Schizosaccharomyces pombe: one gene and its partners. Changing the gene in region 2 together with the main gene of any one other region gives a genetic interaction. Each region holds a gene or a part of one and is shown on either strand. Other genes may lie near its edges.

The links. Genes that interact genetically often act in the same process or in processes that back each other up.
Region 1: mutations in tfa2 (region 2) and mix17 together harm fitness less than expected from each alone (positive genetic interaction), as found in Schizosaccharomyces pombe (one large-scale study listed by BioGRID).
Region 3: mutations in tfa2 (region 2) and put1 together harm fitness less than expected from each alone (positive genetic interaction), as found in Schizosaccharomyces pombe (one large-scale study listed by BioGRID).

Annotation. Positions count from the first base shown.
Region 1 is NC_003424.3:2,322,354-2,330,314, reverse strand, and holds mix17 (CHCH domain-containing protein), read left to right. Parts: upstream 1-5,011; 5' UTR 5,012-5,151; coding exon 5,152-5,670; 3' UTR 5,671-5,834; downstream 5,835-7,961. Other genes in the region: citrate synthase Cit1, read right to left, coding at 219-1,668, 2,453-2,454; SPOM_SPAC6C3.03C (uncharacterized protein), read left to right, coding at 3,681-3,983.
Region 2 is NC_003421.2:577,130-585,597, forward strand, and holds tfa2 (transcription factor TFIIE subunit Tfa2), read right to left. Parts: upstream 3,429-8,468; 5' UTR 3,185-3,428; coding exon 2,327-3,184; 3' UTR 2,091-2,326; downstream 1-2,090. Other genes in the region: U3 snoRNP-associated protein Utp21, read left to right, coding at 1-1,175; SPOM_SPCC1672.09 (triglyceride lipase-cholesterol esterase), read left to right, coding at 3,464-3,498, 3,537-3,993, 4,110-4,497, 4,543-5,066; histone H4 chaperone, CENP-A recruiting complex CENP-A chaperone Mis16, read left to right, coding at 7,006-7,090, 7,163-7,268, 7,357-8,458. UniProt on the Schizosaccharomyces pombe protein: Recruits TFIIH to the initiation complex and stimulates the RNA polymerase II C-terminal domain kinase and DNA-dependent ATPase activities of TFIIH. Both TFIIH and TFIIE are required for promoter clearance by RNA polymerase.
Region 3 is NC_003421.2:2,348,141-2,357,536, forward strand, and holds put1 (proline dehydrogenase), read right to left. Parts: upstream 4,439-9,396; 5' UTR 4,067-4,438; coding exon 2,588-4,066; 3' UTR 2,128-2,587; downstream 1-2,127. Other genes in the region: transcription factor Adn3, read left to right, coding at 1-121; inh1 (ATPase inhibitor), read right to left, coding at 1,225-1,497; SPOM_SPCC70.04C (uncharacterized protein), read right to left, coding at 5,431-5,561, 5,606-5,773, 5,834-6,269; extender of chronological lifespan protein Ecl1, read right to left, coding at 7,405-7,647.

The DNA.
Region 1 (7,961 bases), on a different chromosome or scaffold from region 2:
AACAGAGTTAAGTAAATTCATTGTTTGCTATACCAATTTTGAAATTTATTATTAATATTATTGTGTTTGCTGATATATTTGCGGATATTCAATTTTTAAATGCAACGGGAATTGACAACACCAACACAGTAAAAACTAAGTAGGAAATAAAACATTTATACAAATAATGAATGAAAAAAAAAGCGCCGACATAATTTTCATTGTAAGAAATAAGATAATCATTTCGTTTCAACCATCTTCTTTAATGCTTCAGTAGAGAAAGACTTAGGACGCTCAATAGGTAGTCCCAAAGCTCGATCCCAGATGAGTTGAGAGGCAACACCGAGTGTTCGAGAAACACCGAACAAAACGGTGTAGAAGCTTTGTTCTTTCAAGCCATAATATTGCAAAAGAACACCAGAATGTGAGTCAACGTTGGGATATGGATTTTTGGTTTTTCCATGCTCTGTAAGAACACCTGGAACTATTTCATACAGACGGCTTACAAGTTGAAACATGGGATCTTTAGGAAGATGCTCAAGTGCAAATTCACGCTGAGCCGTATAGCGAGGATCTGTCTTACGAAGTACGGCATGACCATAACCAGGAACAACACGACCAGAATTCAAAAGCTTCCAGAGATAAGACTTGATTGTTTCTTCAGATAAATCATCACCGATTTCTTTCTTCATTGTAATCAAAAAGTTCAAAACTTCTTGGTTGGCAAGACCATGAAGGGGACCAGCAAGTCCATTTAAGGAGGCAGCCATCGACAAAAAGGGTGAAGAAAGAGCAGAACCTACCAAATGACCGGTGTGAGCAGATACATTACCACCTTCGTGGTCAGCATGGATGGTCAAATAAAGACGCATAAGCTCCACAAATTCCTCATTGTTAGCAAAGCCCAGAACATTAGCAAAATTGTACGAATGGTCCTTATCCATTTGAATAGGAGCAACAACACCATCACGGTACAAATTGCGGTAGATACGACCGGCAATTGGAACGGTCTTGGCAATCAAATCCATGCAGTCTTCATATTCATACTTCCAATAATCATGCTTGTTCATTCCACGCTCATATGCTTTAGCAAATGCAGAATCGTGCTCAAGTGCAGTAACAGCGAGAGAGAATTGGGCCATTGGATGAAGGGTAGGAGGGCAACGGTCAATGAGTTCTTCAACAAATTTGGGTAACTGAGAACGGGCGGCCCAGTCAGCGGAAAGCGCCTGCACTTGACTCAGAGTAGGAATTTCCCCGGTAACTAAAAGCCAGAACAAAGATTCAGGAAGAGGCTGTTTTCCGTTGGGAGAAGAAGGAAGTAATTTTTGGCATTCCGGGATAGTATAACCACGGAATCGGATACCCTCGTTAGGGTCTAAAACAGAGCCTTCCCATATTAAAGAACGAACCCCACGAGCACCACCATACATTTGATTGATAGTTACCTCACCAATGACATCTTGGCCATGTTCTGCGCGAAATTTTTTGATTTCTGCTTGTTTTTCAGGAATAAGCTCAGCTAACCGATCCTTTAAGGAAGAGGAACGAGTTGAGTAAGAAGATGTGAAAAGGGGGTTTAATTGACGGGAACGAAGCGACGCTTGAGAAAGTAACGACGAAGCAAGTCGTCGAGTACTAGCTAATCTTGTGTTTGTCATAAAACGAGGTGCGTTTAATATAATCATCCTAATAATTTAAAAGTTAGTAAAAAGTAAAACTTGGGAAATAAAAGAAGGCGTGAAATGCGGGAAAAGCTCCTTTGTAATAATATGAGAGAACGAAGGATATCAGATCAAGGAGATAGTGAAGGCCGATTCGCAAATTTAACAAACAGAAAAAAAGAAATAAGCAATAAGAATAGAAAGTCGGTTAATGATAATATCTAAGAGAACTATCGTGAAAAATAGAAAAAAAATTGACTATCAATAATCGCCAATGAGAAAAGTCACTTTAATTTCAAACAAGCTAAAGACGGGGTTTGTTATCAAAAATCAATAATTAATTTTCAATTCAACTAGTGTGCTTAATCTGAGCACACTCAGATGGGTCATAGATATAGACAGGAACCACAAATTTAGTAGCGTAGTCATTATCAATAACGGCATCTAATTTTAAATAGAAAAAAAAATTGAGCTTTTGAAGACCTTTTCTATCCTCTTCAAAGTAAGAGAAATGAACCCATTTTGAGTGAAAATTTGCATACGCTATGTATAGGATTGACCCCAAGATAAGCGCAGATGAAAAAAGTCCTAGCATTGGCAGACATGAATTAGAGCATCGAGTAAACTATATTTCCAACCAAAAATATAAGACTTTCTTTCAAGAAAACCGACATTTCGTAAGACCAAAAGGCCAACGAAACGCAAAATCAAAATTATCACAAAGGAGGATTTTCTAAACTATGCACTAGAGAATATCCTACTGCCTCTCGACAAGATCAAATCTCAAACACCTTTAGGCTTGCACTTACATGAAAAAGGGTATTACAATGCACCGATATTGGCTAAGGAAAGAATAATTGCTGGGATGGGGGACTATTTATTCGGTAAACCTGAGTACCATTAGCATGAACGGAGGGGAGGGTGCGACGTCAGTGCCCCATGATTCTGTCCATTCAACAACTAGCCAAAACCGAGGAGAGGAACAACCTTAGCATATAGACTCGCTTCTGATGTCGGTGAATACGAAATACAAAACCACTTAAAATTCAGTAAAGTGAAGAAGGTTTGTGGAGAATGACTTGGGCAACAAAGCCGAAATCCACCAAACAGTAAGAAAAAATTGTAATGAAGAAAGAAAGCCTTATTTATCACATATTTACTAATGAACTTTAGCCTACAACTTACAAACCCGTTGAAAAGTCAAATCTCACTTTTATGATTGGGACAGGCAACCTTGCATGGAAACCCGGTTCATCGTCGCAGGAAAAAATAATATTTTATTATTTAGATGTACTTTGATCAAAAATAAATTAAGGAGTAAGAAAATTTGAAAAGAGGCGTATCCGATGTTTCCATAATTGTTGAATGATACAAATTAGACTACATAGATTGATATTATATCCTTTCAACAATGAGAGAAACGAGATGGGTATGAATAAGTATTGATTTCCTACCAACAAACAATTTGTACATTTTATGCTTTGAAAACGTACTGATCTACATTACCATAGTGTCTTGTATTGTTGGCCTTGCAAGTGAAGTGCTATTTACTGTTACTATCAATAAACGCATCTTTGGTTCTTGGTTACCATACTTTGTGCTACAAATTTTATCTCTCATAAGTTTTTTTTCTTTTTTTTTTTTTTTTTTGAAATTTTAAATAGATAACAAGCCGAATTTCGAGAATTTGCTTGTCTTGATCAGGTAAAAAAGGGTAGTTGCTCCGATCGATCGAGCTAATGATATCAGTAAAGATCAAAATTTAGGAGAACTTCCGCGGTAGCGGATTTCTCAGTCAAACATAGTACTACAATAGATACAGAAAAGAATTGCTTAGCTATGCAAATATTTACTCAATGAACGTTGACTGAAGTAGCTTCATCTCTTGCATGTGCGTTACGGCAATGCATATGCATGTATCGGGAGTGAATAAATGAATAGAGATGTTGACAAGCGACAAGAAAATAATTTTTATAGGTAAGAAAGTTTTTGATAACTTTTTCTAACTGCTCAACCATTGCTATTGACGAAGTTTAGATGGATGTTTTTTTCTTAGGATTGCTAGTGGTAATCGCTATTTTCACTAACGCTAAGCGTTACAGCTCGTTTCGCTTTTTATTCCCATCCAAAAACTTGGACCCCAATGAGACAAAGTGGGGGTGGAATATTAGAATTGCGACTTTTAGATCGTTACTGAATACCATTCCAAGTATCCCACATTGGAGAACCATGTGGGGAACCGTTCGAGTTGGTATTGTACATACCCCGTCGGCCAAGGTAAGAGAGCGTGTAGACTGTAGTTACTACTTTTTGGCTAGAGGATTCAAAACTCAAAAATAGCTCTTAAAAATAAATATAGAAATGAATTAATTCAAAAACATATAATTTTTCTTCGGGATTCCTTTTTTTTACAACAACAGTCATTTCAAGTGCTTTGACTTGACAGACGCAACATAAATAAATAAATAGAACACTTTGATGCAAAGTATCGAATTCCAACATATCTCTCTAGACTGCTTTTCTATTAAAACCATGACTACTAGTGTTTCCATATAAAAATATAAAGAGATCCATCAACAACTAATACGTACATATTAGATTTTGCATTCCCAAATTGCTTCGTTATTTCACATACACCCATTTATTTAAAACGAGTTAAGAGTAACATCATTTGAAATCAACTGAAACATTTATATAAGCTGATTTTTCACAATCTTGCTATTTCACTAGTGTGGAACCTGGAGCTGCTTCATAGTTTTATACAATAGCATAACAAAACTCCAATAATCTCATTTATACTCTGACTCACCAAGTCGATGATGTGTATCTATTTAGGTTAAATTGATCAATTATATAATTGTTTCTCATATATTCCCTTACTTATCGTATTTATTATTTATTTATTTATTTTTATTTTTTGGAATATATACCGTCTAATTAATAATAACATGATTCTATCCACTACGTTATAAATAATGTTGGCTAAAAAAGTTTCTTTACGTAAAAAAAAAAAACAAAGTCAAATTGCTTTGCATACATGTGTCCAAAATTTACGATTATTGAGAATGATAGATAAAATCATAAATAAAAGTTTTGAAAGTGATGGAAGTTGCAATTTTCTTTCTTTATTGAAAACTTGTGCATCCATTTGTATTAGTAAACCAGCTTGGATTGTTAGGTAACTGTTACCCCAAGGGCATCTGGTCTATACGACTTGAGTGGTGCAAATATCCAAGTTGTACCTCATGTCTTCCAATCCGCTATAGCGAAGACGATGTTTGGTCGGAACGATTCTCTCCATTCATCGATTTTCTTCAGCTTCTTCTAGCAACGCTATATATATTCGTGCTCTCCGCCATCTGCCTCTTAAACACTCGTATATCGTTTATCCTTTCATTGACGGTATTCCTTTGCAGATATCGTAAACGAGTTTTCATAAAATTTAATCCTTTTTTGTTTATCTCTTACTTCCTTTGCCCATTTCCATCTCTTCACATAAATAAGTACGATGCCTCGTAGACGTTCTGCCGCACCTCCTCCTCGCCGTGCAGCTCCTGCCAGAAGTGCTTCCACTGCTGCTGCTTTACCTCCTAGGACAATGGCACCTCCTCCTGCTCCTAGTCGTGTGCAACAGGCTCCTCCTCCCACCGCCGTCCAAGGAGGCAGCTCACCTGGATTCTTCGGCAATCTGGTTAGTACAGCGGCTGGTGTTGGTATTGGAAGTGCTATCGGACACACGGTTGGCAGCGTCATAACAGGCGGTTTTTCTGGAAGTGGTTCCAACAATGCTCCAGCTGATACTAGTGTACCTCAATCTAGTTACAGCAACAGTGTTCCAGAAGCCGCTTATGGTTCAGCACCTCCATCCACCTTTGCCAGCAGTGCTATTTCTGAAGAGGCGAAGAATGCTTGCAAGGGCGATGCTAAAATGTTTGCAGATTGTATAAATGAGCATGAGTTCAGTCAATGTTCTTACTATTTGGAACAGCTAAAGGCTTGTCAGGCCATGTGGTCCAACCAACAATAAGAGGCAATGAACTAATTTATTTATTTTTCTATTAAATAAAAGTTATGCCCAGTTTGTTTGCATCAGCATCAGCATCGAAATTTTTTTTTTCATGTTTCTACTAACGAGAACGTTGAACCCTAATAGCATTTGTTAAGCAGTAAATAATAACTGGTTTCCCTGGTATAAGACATAGTATAAGAACGAGAAGAAATAAATCATATATGGTATTTTTTTTGTTTGGTTTAGTAATGAAGTTCTTTTTTTTTAAAATGGCCCAGTAATAAAAAAGTTCACGAAGAACGTAGTTAGAAAGCTTGATAAATAAATTAAATGAAATCTATGCTCTTTAGAAAGTTCTATGATCTGGCTTGGAGAAGAGTAGTACATAACAGTATGGTAATGTAGTTAGAGCTTCTCTTAACATGCGTACGTTTTCATACCTCTTAATAGTAGGGATGGTTCAGTTCATACAGCTACCTAGTTCACCCCATCAATCAATCAATCAATCGATACAGTCACTCTTCAAAGCATTTTGAGAGTTCTCCCACAGATTTTATGCTAGCTGGAGTTCCGACTTGTTTATTAAAGTAGGAAGGTTGGAAGCGAACCATATCTAACAAACTTTTTTCAAAACGAAAATTAAAAGCAAATTAAACTTTCATTGTCTTACGTCCCATGTTAGGGGGGGGAAGCAGCTAAACAATGATGATTTATAGATGGTTGCCTCGGCTATTATTTACTTTGTTTCATATCTGAAAGAAGAGTAAGGGATAGGATACGCCAAAGATCCACCATAAAACGGTTTATCAACAAAAGGATCATCATCGAATTTGGTTTATGAGTCTTTCAAATGTACTCGTGTTTGTTAGTTTAACATACTATTGCATCCACTAGAGATAGTTAAGAGAAGCTGATTTACAAATGATCGGTTTCGACATGTCTGCCAAGTTATACTTTTAACGTATTACCAAGAAAAAAAAATTTACGGGACGGGGATTCCATTCTTGCTGCTTTGGTTTATACTGTAAGCATAACAGCAATCTTAAATTGAATCGTCTTTGCCAAGCGCATTTGTAAGAGTATTGTATGCTATGCCACGCAGTGCATTTTCATATCCAACGCTACATACAATTTGTTGTTACTCTTTCTGTAGACCATTTCGGAACGTTGATTGAAGATCGGAAAATTTAATGTTTCGTCCAGAAATTGTCTGCATATGTAGTATCACAGAGAGTGTCAAGTCATATCTGACAGCATCAGGTTAATGAGCTTAATTTGGGCCAAAGGCGAGCTAGAAAAGAAGAAGAAAAAAAGAAAAAGTAAACAGTAAAGAAAAACATATAACGACTCTTATTCATCCTTCCTCAGCATTCCCTTTTTCATATTTTTATCCCATTCTAATCCTAGTCTAAGAAATGCTGGCGATATAGACCGAGTCTACTGGTGTCTGGAAAGGAACATAGCTATATCTATATATAGATATAGATATAGATATGTATGTATGCTTGTATTTCGTTGGCAGTTTTCTAGTTTAACTAGCAAAATACAAGAATTAAAATTAGTATTAGTATTATTATTATTATTTTTAAACATTTAAACATCGACTAATTTTTTCAACATCTGTTTTCACTTTCAAGTATCGACTACTTTCTACATTCCAACGATCCATTCTTTATTATAGATTCACCCTTTTCCTCGATAAATAAGCACCATTACACATACTTAAAATTTTTGTTTCAAAGGGAAGCTAAACTGTACGACGATGTTTATCGTTATACTCAGCTGTCACTTATCCAGAACTCACTCCATCAGAGTGCGTGCATTTAGCTTGCTCCCTGCACATCCCACTACAAAGTGTTAGAGATAGGCAATCGGAGTTAGAATACCGAGACTTTATTCCAAGGTAAAAACACATCTAGAAATGGGGACAAACAAAGAAACAAAAGGTCATGTGAATGTTAGATTCAAGGGGTAGAGTTCGATATCTCAGCAAGCGATTCCTTTTTTTTTTTTTTTTTTTTTTTTTGAGAAAACCTCGGTACACGCTAAGCTGGCTTTTCCTATTGTTACTCCTTTTACTACTAGTATTATACTATTGCTTTGCTTTGTTGAATAAACAGTCTATAGAACGCTCAAGAAAATACGACGAAAATAGTTTATTCATAGCTTGACAAACTAACTACCTTTGTTTTGTTTTGTTTTTTTCTTTTCTTTTTTTTTTCGTTTCTTAGCTTGGCTATAGCTTGCGTATTCTGTCTTTGTCAGTCATTAATCCAGACAGTAATATAACATATTCACCTTGTTCTTTT
Region 2 (8,468 bases):
TTTTAAAATTTTGGGATTTCAACAAAGGAAACTTAATAGATTCATTAGACGTTGGAAGTTCCATTACTCATGCGATTTATCAACATTCATCAGACCTCGTTGCTGTCGCTTGTGACGATTTCGGCATTCGCATTGTTGACGTACAAACAAGGAAGATTGTTCGTGAATTATGGGGTCATTCGAATCGTCTCACCAGCTTTGATTTTTCCGATACTGGCAGATGGCTTGTTACTGCATCTTTAGATGGAACAATTCGCACATGGGATCTACCCACTGGTCACTTAATTGATTCAATTTCTACACCCAGTGTATGCACAAGTTTGACATTTGCACCAACTGGTGATTATCTGGCAACAACGCATGTGGACCAGGTGGGAATTAGCTTATGGACGAACCTTTCAATGTTCAAACACGTTTCTACAAAGGCACTTCGCCTTGATGATGTTGTTGAAGTTTCAGCTCCTTCCGTATCTGGTGAAAAAGGAATATCTGTGGTAGAGGCCGCTCTAAATGTCGAGTCTAATGCTGAAGATGAAGAAGATATATCATATCGGACGATGGATCAACTCGATCCCAACTTGCAAACTCTTAGCAAACTCCCACGCACTCAATGGCAAACTTTGATTAATCTAGAAGCAATTAAGGCTCGTAATGCTCCCAAGGAAGTACCCAAAGTACCCGAGAAAGCACCGTTTTTCTTGCCTTCCTTAAAGGATCAATCAGAAGCGACAGTGCCCAAGCAGCCTATAGCAACTGAGATTTCAAAGCCGACTGCTGTTGCCTCCATAAAAGTATCCGGCACCGAGTTTTCTACTTTATTACATGGAAACGATGATGATGCGTTTTTCGAGTACTTAAAATCCCTCGGGCCAGCAAAGATCGATTTGGAGATTCGGTCATTGGATGCATACCCGCCTTATGAAGAATTTATATTATTTATCAATATTATGACACGAAGGCTTTCTAAAAGAAGAGATTTCGAGCTCGTCCAAGCTTGTATGTCCGTCTTTACGAAGTCACACGAGGACGTATTACTAATGCATGATACTCCCGAAGATACGGTACCTGTTTTTGAAAGTTTGAAGGCATGGGAAAGTGTTCATAAAGAAGAAAATCAGCGTCTTTTAGATTTGGTGGGCTACTGTTCGGGTATTTTGAGCTTTATGCGTACTTAATACATCTGCGTAAAAAAGTGGTAAATGTACAAAACAGGAGCAGAAAAAAAAGCAAATTAGGATGGGAAATTGTTAAAGTTTTAGGGGATATGTCATTGCTTACATTGGCTGTGTTCAAAAGGTTTTATTTCATTAGTAATTTTTGGGTAAAAAAATAAATATCTTTTAATGGTAAATGACAAAAATTGAAGGCACTATATAGTTAAAAAATCATAGAGATTGTAGCGTGCAGAAAGTAATGAAGCACATATGGAAATTCTGCAAAACCTTGGATTCCTTTCTTAATAATTTATAACAGTTGTAAGCTGAGACTCAAAATGCTCGGGTGTTTCAATTTTATTGTCTCGAAAATGCAAACGTATTTAAAGGAAAGCACTGAAGTGACCAACATCGATCTTCTATTTAGTCATGCACTCTGCTTTCTTATATTTACGAATTACCATATATTTCTACATCTTTTAGAGTTAGCAGTATAGGATAAAAATGGTGATAAATTATAAATTTATATATAAAATATACATAATATAACGTTCTACTAACTAGCTCCCGTGGCCTAATGGCTAGGGCATTTGACTTCTAATCAAGGGATTGCGGGTTCGAGTCCCGCCGGGAGCTAATATTAATTTATTTTTTCGTTACAAAAATGCATGCTAATGAAATCAATTTATTAGCATGAGTGAAGAAATACGTTTTTTTTCCTTTCCACAAAACATTCACCTACATAAACACACCTTTCAATACATAACTGATCTTTCTATTTCGACAATGCACAAAAGGGAAAGATAAGAATTTCTGTTTAAACTAAATGTAATTGTCTACTTAGTCACTGTATACTAGTGCAAATTAACTACAGAGCAATAAATGCACTTGTCAACAATACCGACTAATTGTCAGCTAATATAGGTTTAACAGTTTATGTAAAAAATCATCATCATTAAACAATAGAGTTTTCTTCCATAGTTGCAAATAGATTAGAAGAAACAAAGAGGAAATATGTCCAGTCCATGCAAATCTTGGAAAAAGGAATGTAAGATAGATAGCTATTTTTTCAAACACATCCAGTACCAGACAACAACACAGTAACCGGATGAAATTAAATACCAAAAGCAACACAGTTTTTAGTTAAAAAATATGGGATCCTTAATATGATTTCAAGGTTTCATGGAGCTATAATCACGAAGAATGTTAAGGTGTGTATTCGTAATCTTTCCACGTCGAGTTTTGGGCTTCTTTTGTTTAGGCGTTTGATTATGACCAGCACGCTTTACGGTTGAAGGATCCACGCTAGTGGGCTTTAAACCGTATTTTCCAAGTTCAGAAGCTAAATCCAAAGTGGGTGGAATGGGAATCTCATGCCAAACTTGTTGAAACTCCTTATCGACATGACAATCGCAGCTCTTGTCATTTCTCCATACCATTTTAGGAACGCCATCCTTCCTTGTACGTAATAAAAGCACTTCTCCCTGTTTTTCTAGTTCTTCAAGTTCAACAGTAACGTTGGGCCATCCGTCTCGAAGCTCTTTGATACTCATACCAACGTGGGTTTTTTGTGAATCTAAATATGCTAATAAACCTGCTCCTGAGCGAATGTTATGCAATGGCTTAAAGGTAAACGTTTCATTTCTTTCATCATAATAAATGCGATTATTTTTCTTCAAAAGATTGAGTAACATAGGAGTCAATGGAGTTGACAGGTAAGAAGCAATTTCCTCAGCCGTTTTAGGCTCATTTCTCTCTTTTAAATACTCAACTGCATAGTGTAGCTGTGATAAATAATGCGTTCCAACACCAGAATCAGCGGGTTGCGAGTAAACCAAAGACGTCTTTGAGCGCTTTTTCTTCAGGGAATACGACCCTGGACTTGAAGCGGCAGAAGAATGTCCATCATTTGAATTCAAATAAGCTGTTGGAGTCGGAGAAGCTGGTTGACGAGGTTGAGGTTTTGCATAAATAGGTTGATTTGCGACTTTCTTTTTAAACGAAGATAATTGATCGCTTAGTGAACTCATAGCCTTAAAAGTAGTTGTTAGCTTGTCGGAAATGAAACTATCAAACGGTGGGCAAATTCTGTTCAAAATTATGACCCAAGGCTTTGTTAACAAAATCGAACTTATAGACCGACAACCTTGTAAAAAAATAGAAAACAAACAAAATATTTATCTCTGTTTGCAAAATACTAAAATAAATTTAAAAGGCTATTGCTTTTAAACCAATTTCAAAAGTCCCCCCAAAAATAGTTGTTTGGCAGAGGGCAAGGTTTAGTACCTCCATTCCACGCAATATGCGAAATGATTCAGTTACCGTTTATTCAGCGTCTAAAATGGTATGCAAATCTTTTAATATATTAACTGACAAATAAAGGGAAGAGTATATGGCCCTATTTTTGGGGTTTTTCTTTGTAATCTTTGAAAAATTACTTTCATGCCTGGCCTTCATGATTCACAATACGCTAGGCTTGTTTTATCGATCAGTAGTTCGAAATGAGATTAAAAAACGTTCAAAGAAAAGATCAAGGTCGAGAAGCGTTAGCCTTCAAAGGGCAAAGGCAATTCACGATGCAGCTGACATACGAGAAATGTGCAAAATTTCTGGGTATTATGTTGAGGACCATCTCGTTAGAACAGAGGATGATTACATACTTTGTATTCATAGGATATCGAAGGATTCCCCTGGAAGAATTGGTTCTCCTCATCCCAAAAAGCTTCCGGTCGTTTACTGTCATCACGGTCTTTTGATGAATTCGGAAGTCTGGGTTTGTAATGTAGACCCCAGAAATTGCCTAGTATTTGATCTCGTAAATAAAGGATACGATGTTTGGGTAAGTATTTTGCTGCGTTCAATTTATCATATTTTAAATAATTAGTTACTGGTAAAGTTAATATGGTTTTCGTTCGAGTTTTCTTTTTTAAAAATTATTTACTAATTGTGCTTAAGCTCGGAAATAATCGAGGAAATAAATACAGTCGTCAACATCTTCGCTTCGACTCTACTGACAAGGAATTTTGGGACTTTAGCATTGACGATTTTGCTCAATACGATATTCCCGATACCATTGACTATATTCTAAAAACTTCTGGGCAAACAAAGCTCACTTATATAGGATTTTCTCAGGGCACTGCTCAAGCTTTTGCTTCTTTGAGTATCCATCCCCTGTTGAATGACAAAATCAACTCTTTGATAGCGTTAGCACCTGCAATTAGTCCAAAAGGTTTACATAACAGAGTTGTAGATGCCTTTGTAAAAGCCAGACCTTCCATATTATTTTTCCTTTTCGGACGAAAATCTATTTTGCCGTCTGCCGGATTCTGGCAAAGCTTTTTAGGTACGGTTTTTTTCTTTTAATAATTTCACTGACATTTTTATCCAGCTCCAAAATTTTTTGATGCAGTCCTTGCATACTGTTTGTCTCAGTTATTTAACTGGTCTTGCCAAAACATTTCTTCCTATCAACGCTTGGTTTCATTCGCCCATTTGTATTCATATACTAGTGTAAAGTGCCTTGTGCATTGGTTTCAAATCATGAGAAGCGCAGAATTTAGAATGTATGATAATGACCAGCTTGGTCATGACTATTTCCTCAAATATTACAAAGCTGCCAAATTCCCTACAAATAATATTCGCACCCCTATTTATCTTATTTGGGGAGGCAGCGACTCACTCGTTGATATCCAAGCGATGTTGAATGCTTTGCCTGCGGAGGTGGAGCATGTTAAGGTTGATAGCTATGAACACTTGGACATGATTTGGGCAGACACAGTTAAAGATTATGTTATACCTCCTGTACTACGAAGGCTTCGTGACATTCACCATCCACCAGAGCATGAGGAGAATGATAAAGAAAATCGTGAAATCCAAAAAAATCATATCGCTCCTAGGAATAAACCAATTTAATTTGATTGAATTGAAAGACTTTGCCTCAACACATCTTTTGTATATTTATTATTAGTTAATGTTTTCTACGTTACTATTTTATTATTGCTAGATATCGAATCCCTGATGTTATCCGTTTGTTCAAAAAAAAGAGAGAAAAAGTTTCCTAAAGGCTAAATTTTGCCTTTTTTTACTGATGACCTGTTTGTTCTCAGTTTTGTGATTATTTACGCTTATGCACACCGAAAATTTCATCTTTGAATACTTTGAAGTGTTTGTATTTTTTACTGTCATTAACAAAACCGCATTTGAAGTAGCAGGTTAATAATAATGACTGTTAAGACTGCGGTTCATAAAATTTAATTATTTTGCTTATTGTTTTTTTCAATTTCTTCTGTGCCCCGATTAATTAAGGTGTATCCGACAACCAAGGTTTGGATGCTCGATTATGTAGGCAACACAAAAATTTACATGATATGGATAGATCTTTCATAGAAATACCTCTAAATTTTGATGAATTTACTTTAGCAAGAAAAAAAAAGAATGCAATGTTAAAAACTGTTACAATAATTATAAATATACAATGGGTACCAGAAGTCGCTATGAAAACATCTGAAGTAATAAGATTACGATCAACAACTCAAAACGTGCAAATATACTCCAATTATACTAAATTCCTCTCTTATAATTGATATACTGATATTAATTGCCTCCTCAAAATACTTAGCAAACGCAAGCATTATTCCAAAAAAAAGTCGAGACGAATAACGAGCTAGACCACTGTTGGCATGCATTTTAAGGCAATGCGGTATACAAATTCCTCAGTATATCAAAATAAATAACATTAGAAAGAAAGTACTCATCTGGGAATTTTTTTTTTTTAATTCACAACTATATTTAATAAATATTTTAAATTAAAATCAGTAAATTGCTATGATGAGGTTAAAAGAAATAAGAGACACGATTTGAATTGTACTGTTATCGAATAATTTATCAAGTTAGCATGTTAAAGTTTCCACGACAAGTACCCAAAAGTCTGACTACGTGCTATTAAAGCTAGCTAATCATATAAATTAAAATCAGCCAAAACTCATAGTCATTTCACAAGTTTCTCTTTTCAGCCATTGTTTACATATGAAATTTTACTTAGTCTCCAGAACATCGTTTCTAATACCCTAACCTAAGGTAAAAACCGTCACAACAAATTTACTATATATAGGGTCTGTTCAGTTGATGATTCACCATCATCAGTAGGTTTTAACTTACTTTGTTATATAAGTAAAGTAAAATCAATCCTGAAGTCAAGTATGATGGTTGGAGTCTCCGGACCAAGAAAATGCATCCGTTCCGTCTTCAGCGAAGAATTGAGTGGCTTTCCCGGTCGTTGACTTTTTTCCATGGGTCAAGGATGGGATTGTCTCCCAGACATTTTTAATTAAAAAAAGTTTATATTTGATTAGTTTAGATACGTACCCAAAGTTTGCAATACTACATGATTTGTTTAATAAATTTACGGTGTACTGTAAAACAATTCGTAGAGCCAACAGTATAAATATCCCATTGATGGCTGGGTTCAATAGTTTTATTTTTAGTGTAAATATAATGACAATCTGTTTATCAAAGTATACTGAGATTATAATATTTGTTTTTGCCAAATGGTTTTATAATTATTAGAGCATGATAAAGACGATGTTTGAGGAATTCTTCTCACTATGAATGTCTGTTTTCATGGAGACGTGGCATCAAGTAATGGTTTTTAGAGGCATGTTCAAATTTGTTTTCGCTCATTGAAACTTGTTTTCTATATCGCTGTTCATGAATTTTATTTTATTTTTTTTTTATTTCAGACTTAAGAGTGCGCTAGATTTATTTGGGCATCTTTAAATAATGTAAATTACTTATAACTCCAAAACTTTTAACTTGGCAATCTAGTTTGGGCCATTGTGTAGTTGCCCAAAACATGTCAGAGGAAGTAGTCCAGGATGCACCTCTCGAGAATAATGAACTCAATGCCGAGATAGACTTACAAAAAACAATACAAGAAGGTATGATTAAAGGGAATTCTTCATTAATATATATTATTATGCCGTAATTACTGACGATTATACTCGTTTCAGAATACAAACTTTGGAAACAAAATGTTCCCTTTCTGTATGACTTGGTAATAACCCACGCTTTGGAATGGCCTTCTTTGACAATTCAATGGCTTCCTGACAAAAAAACGTACGTTGCTTGCCAAAGTAGTTAGGCTATGATTATACTGGCCTTTACTTCAAACCATCTCATCAGTTTTCTAACTCGATTCTTGAAGAATACCAGGTACTGATTACTCTATTCAACGTCTTATTCTTGGCACTCACACATCTGGTAATGATCAAAATTATTTACAGATTGCTTCTGTGCAATTACCAAACTTTGATGAGGATACCACCGAGTTTACTCCTTCTACGATTCGAAGAGCACAGGCCACGGGCTCGTATACGATTGAAATTTCACAAAAAATCCCTCACGATGGCGATGTCAATCGTGCTCGTTACATGCCTCAAAAGCCTGAAATCATCGCTACCATGGGAGAAGGAGGAAATGCTTATATTTTTGATACAACTTGTCATGATGCCTTAACTACAGGTGAAGCACTTCCTCAAGCAGTTTTGAAGGGCCATACTGCTGAAGGTTTTGGTCTTTGCTGGAACCCGAATTTACCTGGAAATCTAGCAACAGGAGCAGAGGATCAAGTTATCTGTTTATGGGATGTTCAGACACAATCTTTTACTTCCTCTGAGACAAAAGTCATTTCCCCCATAGCCAAATATCATCGTCATACTGATATTGTTAACGATGTTCAATTTCATCCTCAACATGAGGCATTATTAGCATCGGTGTCGGATGATTGCACTTTGCAAATTCACGATACTCGGTTAAATCCAGAAGAAGAAGCTCCCAAAGTTATTCAGGCTCATTCTAAAGCCATAAATGCCGTTGCCATTAATCCCTTTAATGACTATCTTTTAGCAACAGCCAGTGCTGATAAAACAGTAGCTCTTTGGGACCTCCGTAATCCATATCAACGGTTGCATACCCTGGAAGGACACGAAGATGAGGTATATGGGTTAGAATGGTCACCTCATGATGAACCTATATTGGCATCCAGTTCAACTGATCGCCGTGTTTGTATTTGGGATTTAGAAAAGATTGGAGAGGAACAGACTCCGGAGGATGCCGAGGATGGTTCTCCAGAATTACTATTTATGCATGGAGGCCACACAAATCGCATCTCAGAATTTAGTTGGTGTCCAAACGAGCGTTGGGTGGTTGGAAGTCTTGCCGATGATAATATCCTTCAAATATGGAGCCCTTCTCGTGTCATTTGGGGTCGTGATCATGTTCAGGTTTCTCCTAGGGATCTGGAGTAAAGTTGGCCAT
Region 3 (9,396 bases), 1.8 Mb from region 2:
TGCTGGAAATGCATTCGGCTTTTCTTCTAAAACCGACAGTAATGTTGAAATGTTAAATGATTTTGACTTTGAAAGTTTCCTAAATGATGCTGGTGCAGATTCGGCATCTGTTTATTATTAGGTGCCGATTTCCTTTCCTACTTTTCTTCAACGCTACCTGTGGAGACGTTGTTTGTGTAAATTAGCTTGGATGGATGAATATTTCTTCTTTATTTGTGTCTGTTTAAATTTGCATGGATTGCTACAATTACCGGTTTTTTTTTTATAATTCTCATCATTAATCGTGCCATCCAGCCCGATAGGTGTATTTTACATGAAGCTTTTCCTGCCAATCTACTACACCCATCGAATTTTTACCATATTGTTGATTTTCGTTATTTATAAGATAATGTGTAAATAAATAAGAACTGCTTTCAAGCGTATATAATAAATATGATTCATCATTATACTAGCAGGAATTTTTATCTACGTGTTCTGAAGAAATAGTTATTACTTAATTAAGTAGCACCATTGCATAAGCTAAAACATTTTGGAACTAACGATTTCTGTAAACAATGTTTGAATACCAAAGGAGTTAGCATAACAATACTGCTTGCATGATATGATTTCACGGTCAGTAAAAGCAATCCAACATTAATCAATTACACAACCTTTTTTTCTGGATAATGATTTGCAGGGTGAAGATGAAATAAGCAGGACTATGAAACAAAAGAAAATCGCGAGGGGTTTTAATATTGATCATTGGCAGTATCGCAATTTACAGCAGGGAGAGACAGCTGGAATTTAAGGAAATATGCTGATTGCCTAAGTTTAATTAATTAAACTACAACATGCGAAATTGAAAAATTAAGCATCAATCCGAACAAACTTTCAGATCTTACAGAAATATGCGTTTTTTAACACATTGTTTATAAACATATTTTAATGAGGCCTTAAAAAATAGCATTCAATTTTATTAACTATGATAAGTAATCGGAACCGATAGATAATCGAAAAAAGCAGGGTTCGCAGAAAGACTCGGCTATTTGAAGAGAAGGGAGTTGTAAAGGGGGTGGCATATCCAAAAGCCGTAATGATATCTTTTGTTATAACAGAAACAGCTGCTTATTGCACAATGCACTTATTATGGTAAGCAGCCACATAAAAAATCATTGTTTCGCTATATTGCCAACAATCATTACGCTTGAGGTCGATTTCATGAAAGAACATGCTTAAGCATTAGAGTTATTCATTACTCTTCATTTTCTTATCAACGCGGGATTCCAATTCATCAAGTTCTTCACGATGAAGTTTGAGGCTTTCCTTCAATTTTCGAAGTTGCTCAATTTCATGTTGATGAACAAAAAAATCCTCTTTAGCCTTTTCACGGGATTCAAATGCGCTTCGCTTGGCTGAAGAGGCGTTTGCCAATGTTGGATCGGTATCGCTAGCCTTCGACATGAAACGAATACCACGATATGAAATGCAAGCTGGTTTCCTGAAACAATACTTGTACATCTTTTTTATGATAAAAGAGAAGGAAATTTCCAAATAAAGATTTGCTCGATCCTACTAATGGAGTGGGAGATGGGAGAAAGTGAGTGACGGAAACTGGGTGTGTCGAGTAGATGAATTACGTTTAGTCGCCGAAACTCAATTGTAGGCGACTTTCTACGCACCATCCACCACATTTGATTTTCATTGATTTCAAAGACATTTGTTTTTTGTACCCTCAGAATTTTGAGGTTATCACGCAATTAGTAAATTAATAAGATGATACTATCTATGCTTGGAACCGAGAGCAATAACGCCGAACTTTGAGCCTTTATATTTATGTAGCTATTTACAGCAAAATGCTGGAATAAATGATGGTTTTTTATCGTTTCTAAAAATTTGAAGGCGTTTTAAAGAAAATAGTTTAATTATCAATTCAAGTAGTCCATAATTAGGACTTTTCTAAATGTAAGTTTCGAGTAATCTACTCCTTAATAAGAAAGTATGAATAAAAAAGTTTAGGTCTATAAATTCGGAAAGATAACTGTTATTTTAGAAGAGCCTTATTGTGTATATTGTCATTTTGAGAAATATATAAATTTTGACAGTTAAATACTAAGCGCTGATTCAGCTGATTTCAATGTCTTAGTTCCTTGACAATAGTAAAACAATTGATATATGACAGGTTTGACTTTTTAAACAGATTGGGGCACTTACTTGGTACTTGGAAAGTAAACATTATATGATTTCGCCGCAAATTACTAGTTTGAAATTTCATGAAAGGAATATATTAACGATGGTATGAGAAAACTCATATAAGCGTAGACAACGTCCTTAAATATTGAATGTATGAATAAAGGAGATAAAGTACGGCCTTTGAATTGGGTATTTATTACATTATAGACTTAACCGTGACTATATGAAGATAACGAAGGAAGGTTGACGTGAAAAAAAACGAGCGACGATATTCTCTTCACAAATCATATGTACCAATAATGAGTATAATTTAACAATGTTACAGCAGACTTGAAGCTTCGTATAGTGAATCGAATAAAACGCCTTTTGCTTTCTTTCAATTATAAGTACCAAACCCCGGTCAAGGGAGCGGAGAACATTAAAATATACGACGACGAAGAGCTTGTCGGTAGTAGGCTCGTTCCTCTTTACATCTATCAAGAGCATCAATATTCTCACGTGCCCTGCGTACTAAGTAAGGAAGGACTTCACTGATAGGTCCACAAGAAACATATTTTACAATGCAAAAATTGGGCTGTTGATTGCGCTGAGAATAAGCCAAAGCATAGGTAATATCATCAGCCATACCCAACAATTGAGCCAAATAGAAAGAGGTTTTCGTAAAGTCAACTTTTTTGGTTTCTGCCAAATTCACCGATTCAAACATTGTTTTCTTATTGTGACTAGCAACCATAATTCCCCATTTTCCTTTACGAGAGGCAATCGGGTCAGAAGCAGAGGCAGGGTCACCTGGAGCAAATTTGGCAGCTGCGGCAATTATAGCTTCCACAGCTGAATCAAAATCTTTGTCTGTCTCGGCTTTTGTGTCGTGAATTAAGAATCTTGGTTCCGAGTTCAAATAAGCACCACGAACGAGTTTTGCGCCCATTAGCCAGCCCTCAGCAACACATTTCTTGATGTGGTCGTCCATAATTTTTCTAGATTTCTTCAAATACAACTGATAAGTATTATGAACGATTGCAACCTCCTTATTGTATTTTCTCATTAAGTCAACTGTGACGGCATGCATGCAATCTTGGAAATAAGTTTGCTCAGCATCAATAAAGAGTGGGATTTGTTTCTCTTTTGCAAATTGACACAGTTTGTCGGCATACTCCCAAAATTTCTTTAATTCGCTAACTTCATAAGTTGATAATTCAGGAGACTTCAGATGCTCCAAATAGTTACACGCTGATTCTACCGGATACTGGTTCAAAATGGAGTTGTATCGTTGTAAAACCAGAGGATTAATGAATGGGGTAAGCTTAACAGCGCAAACAGTTCCAGGCTTATAGGTTGCCATATCAATGATGTGCATGTTTGATTCAAAAGCCTTGTCCGCAATTTGTCGTAACACTTTCTGGTTCTTCTCAGAAGGAACAGGAACCTGAGGAGGTACTACCCCTTGAGAAGCGATCTTATTTACATCCATATCGCCGTCCAAGTCAACTTCACGAGAGTAATTCAAACAAGAGGTAATACCTGCTGCTTGCAACGTATCCATCGTAGCCATGACAGCCTGAGGCGTCTCGCCACCACAGAAATGTTTGTAAAATGTATAGCGGCAAAACGGATTGTATAAAAATGATAGATGGAAGACGTCGCATAAACTCATCGCACCTAGCGATAGCTTCACTAGCCAAGCTCGAGAACAAATTTCATAGACAAAGGCACTACGGAGGACGCTGAAGAGAGAACGGTGCTGCAATTCATCAGGAAATCCTTTGGCAAAAAACGCATCGAATTTGCTGTCATTGCGAATCTTAATATTGCCAGCTGTTATTAACGAACCAGCACCAATACCTAAAATGACTTTTCGATTTCTCAAAACACCGGAAGCAAGGCGAAAGGCACGCATATTGACAAAATGAAAATAAACACACTTTGTTGATAACTTTAGTAAGTCGTATATTAGAATTCGCAATAGGAATTGGTTTAGATAAAAGGGGGGGGGGTTTGTTAGATTAGGTCAAATTAAAAACTAGATTGAAACACTTTTGAAAAGCCCGACAAGAGACACTGACGATTCGCTGTGGCTAATTTTATCACTTTCTTGAAATCGTAACTTTTGCACACACGCTCAAGAAATTAAAATGAAAGAGAAAGCAAATAATTGTTTTTATGATTCAATGACTATTTTGACTTCAAGAAGCAGTAAAATTACAATGACTTAATTAAAGTGGAGGCTAGCGATTCTTGTTCAACCACTCAGCAGTTGCAATACACAGTTGCTTATAAATGCGCAATTTCAACTTTAAATATCAAATTCGTTCCATGTGACTGTCCCCCCATAGCGTATCATTTCGATAATCTGCTTCCATCCCTATAGATATAACTATGCCTCAAAGTATGAACGCTGTGCTATCAAAGAAGGTAAATTGATAAAGCACGGACCATGAGTGACAAAAAGGTGCTGCGCACCCAAGATAACGGGAGCTAACTCCCAAAGTCGCTTAAAGTCAATACTGTAGGATAGATTTGTGAGATAAACCAGCAAAGGTATCTACTTTTTATTGCCGGTTCCGATTTAAGTGCGATGGATTTGGGTACCATGTGTTTGGAGAGGTTTTGAACAGGTTTGATGTTGAAGGTTTCAAAACGTTTGAACTTTGTTTAAGGAATTGGATCATGCTGTAGCAGTAGACTTGGTTGAAAGTAAAAACATGTTAAAAGACTAGTTAGTTTTAAAAAGCAAAAATCAGTTATGTCATTTCTATGAAATTGTCGTCTCAGGTTGAAAACGATAAAAGTAGTTGTGCATGCATAAAAAAAGACAATGCAAGCCGCCTTGAAAAAGGTATACCCACTTGAAATTCAAAGCAAGAGTTAGTAGTTGTACATACGTTTACAAGTTCGGATGGAAATGCGAAACAATCATCCGCGGAATAACGGAACTCATAAACAAGACGAGAAAGTCGTAAGCAAAGCAAATACAGCGCTAAAAGCTGTCATAATGCTGTCCATGAGGAAAAAATTAAATTAAAGAAAACAGAAAAAGAGATAAGTAAAAAGGACATCGGAAACATTTAATTCCAGTCAGTTAAACACAATTACATTGGTATTTCAGTCATGTCCAATATTTGTAAATCAAATGACATGAATTACTCGAGATTCCCTCAACAGTCTAAGAAAAAATATGGATGCACATGATGCATGCATGTAATAGCCGTGCACCCTTTAATGCTATATTAAACAGAACCTCAATAACATGATGATAATTAGCTAATTCGGAGGATTTTGATGCACTAACGAAGAATCGGTTTTTCGTTCACCCGATCCGTCCAACTGCATTTTAGTTGGAAGTTGGCGTGAGCGAGATAGTGGATGATATAAGAACAGAGAAGAGAAAACGTCTAAAAGTACGGTTAGAAATTCACTTATGTCTTAGGAAACGTACAAATTGGGAAGTCAATGGTAACAAACTTAGTGAAAGCAATTGTTACCGTCACAAGTGCTTGAACCATAGTGCTCAAAACATTGATGAAGAAGCCCTTAGAAATATCTAGCGTAGAATTAATGGTATATGAATAGTTGGTTGTCAGGAACATTAAATGATGAAATAAACCTATTCATTCATTAGAGACTAGAAATGATAACGTGGACAAAGTCCAGTGTTATAGCTTACCAAACAAAGAAACTGTAAGCAATGCGTCCAATGCTATAATCAAAATAAAAAGTAGGGAATATTCTGAAGCTTCGAATTCAAGTAATTCAGAATTTGAAAGTACATAGTATGACCAGAATAACGTTGATAAGATAACACAAGTGCCCCATAGTCGTTCACGACTGTAAGTATAGTGAATACCAGGAAATTTAAGTACTGGATCAAATTCTTTGTAAGGAAAATTACCAATTGATAGGGAGGACTTTGTAGGAGTGAACAAGAGCTTGGGTTTGGCTTCACAAGATAGTTCGTTTACAGTAGTTGCTTCTTCAGAAGGATTTTGAGATTTAGGTGACTCATTTGTCTCTCTCATCGTTTCAATTACATCTATCCAATCTGTTTCAAGCGAAATTTCTTTGGTTTTTGATGGTAATGGCTTTTTGTTATTTTGTTTCATATTTTAGTGATAAGGATCAACAGTAAAAGAGACTTAAGAAACAGTTCACGATAGAATGAGCAATTGGGGAAATTAATTAGATTTTTTAGTGAATTGGAAATTTATTCAATGATTACTAATTTGGTAAACTGACAAATGGACATGAATCGGCTTTTTGTTCTGAAAACAAAGGGTTCACAACCTAAGTTGGGTGCGGTAAATAATATAACGAATAACTGTATTATTCCCTAATGACTGATGGCAGAAGTTGTCTACCCTTTATTTTTGTATATTGTGTGAATGGACAGGATAAAAATAATGAATATTTTGATGCGCCATAAGAATTTTGGTACATGATATTTACTAGTAAGGAAAGATGTGGATCTTTTATATCATGTTCGTGCACAATACTAAATCGTTGAATCACAGTGTTAGGCAACACAAGTTGTATCTCGACTTGGGAATCAATTCATTGCTACTGTTATCGAAGATTGTTCTCATGGCCACTAATCCATTACGTTCTCTACCTTTGCGATACAACGTATATAGACCTAAGAAAACAAGGGCATTTACAATTTCATGCATTGTGAAAAGATGTATTCTTAATTACTAAATCAAATGAAAAGCAGAGTATGACCGCGGATTAAATTGCTGGTGAAGAATACTAAAGCCATTTAAACGCATCCAGAGAAAATAAACAGAAAAACGCTTGTCTTAATCTTTGCATGTTCCGTTATCAGCTTTGCAAATAAAAAATATAAACAAACCCACGAAACGATACAATAACAATAATGTGTACATCCTCATATCCCATAACAATGTTTAAGCATCATTATGTTAGGTGATAATAATGTACAAGCACTTATATTAAGAATAGGGAAAAGAAGAAATAAATAAACGAACCGTAACGTAACGAAAAGAAAAAGACCAATTATCGACATTGCCAAACCATTAAAACCATACATACATTCATAACTCATAACAACGAATTGAACCACGTGCACATTATTCCTGCTTGGAAGAAAGCGCGTCCTGTGCAATATTGATACAAGGACTTCTTTGAAAAAGAGAAGCAAAGGAAAGAAAGATGTGCAATTAATACAGCGTTGAATACTTGTAATCTGGGTACCTTACCCATAAACCGATTCTAAGTAGACTACGCATGTAGTTTTGTGTAAGCACTGAACCGTGGTGTAGGGAAATCGGCGGAAGTCATTGATTTGCGATGGAAATGAGCTAGATGTTCTGAGACGAGAAATTGATATTCGGAGGATACAGAGATATTAGATGTGGTTTGAGTGTCCAACTTGGTGAAATCCAAAAGATGGCATTCAGAAGAGCAGTACAAACTGCCATCCTGAGTGGTGGCTCCACACACTGTGCAAAAATCCAAATCCATCGAGTGAGTAAACTAACAAGGAAAAGAGAACGAAAGGCGTGGTTCGATAACTTATTGAGTTAACGTTACAAGTAAGTCTGTATTGATTTTCTACGCAATACGACACAGTATAGGAGGATATAAAAATGCGGCAGAGGATAATTTAAAAAGAAGAAAAAGAGCCTAGTCCGCAAAATGAAAGAATCAAGAGAAAGCGAAATGAAACAAATAGAAATAAATAGAATCACTATTTGTCAAATTAACCAAACCTTAAAGCAACCTAAGAATAGTCCGTCTTCAAGGGAGAGATATGATTTAAGTAAGCTGATTCAAAACTAGATGAGCGTTGTGGAAAAAAAATAAACAAACAGTCACTGTGATATGTTTGAAAAGGCTTTAAGTAAATACGTGAATGAGAGAGTGTGTATAATAAAGTGTGCGTTGGTAAACAAACAAACAAAAAAGCAAGTGAAACCCAACAACGACGCTCGGTTTTTTTTTACCAAACTAAAGATGCTGGGGAAATAATAAAGGTATGTAATGACTGTTGAACCTTAAGAGTCCGAGTGCTCGCATATATATAGTGTGATAGATCGGTGCTTGTTTACATATGTAATCGATCAATCTCGCATCACTCTGAAGCGATGATAAGATATTTGATGATCATTACTCATCTTTTCTCATATTGTCGAAATACCGCATGATAAGGTCGGAATAAGAAATAAGGATAAGGAAGAAATTGTTACAACGTTAAAAAGCAGGTTTAGTGTGTCGCTGGACTACGTAATACATATGAACGGGAAAAAAGGTCGTTAAGAGGTATTGAAGGAACGCTAGGTATTACCGGGACAGAATGTCAAGGAAGTGTGAATGGGCGGTAGACATATTTGAGAGAACGAAAAAAGGGATTTGAACTATTAAATGCATATTTGGGAGGTTGTTTGTTTGTTTGTTTGAGTATTCGTAGCGGATTAAAGAGTCACTGGCCGCATTCGTTGAGTTAACGTGTACGCTCAAAAAATTAGTAAGACGATGAATTTGGCTGACTGATCAAAAAAGTTACATCACAACTGTTTCAAACAAAATTAAAAAGAAATTTCTAATTAAATGAATTTCAACATAAAGTGATTGAAGCGGATCCGTGGTTTCCTCCTTGCATTATTGTAAATGCAAAAAAGCAATCGCATGATTTACTCTAAGGTTTGCGACTGTTGTGAGGAACATTTCGTGAGTCGCCAGTTTATTTGTATCACATCTCCTTTTCTCAAACTACTGCTTCAATCCCGTAGTGGCAAAAACATACCACAGACTCGGGAGACATTTCTTTTTCGCCAGTATGGAAATCGCGCAATGCTTATACTGAGCAGTCATGATTTCTTCCTGTCTGTGTTTTATGATTAACTTCTTATTATAAATTTCACTTTGTCATGATCACCCACGAATTCAACATTGTGTTGTTTATTTCGCAATTTCTCAGCATCAAGCACGTCGATCTCGGGTCCCTTAATCACAATCACGCTTAACTTTTGATCTGATAATTTTTGATCTGACTTCATATAAGTAACGTGTTCCTTGTCGGCGTTGAGGTTAATCGCAATCATCATCGGAAACAGAGATCTTACCCGCAAAGTGTATGCATATGTTTAAGTAGTTAACGCTTTGTAAATGTATGTCTCCATGTTTAGTGCGAGATGTCTTAGATTCTGAATTGAATTTTATAGTATCATGCAACATACTATCATTGATTTTTTGCCTATCTATGGATTTCAC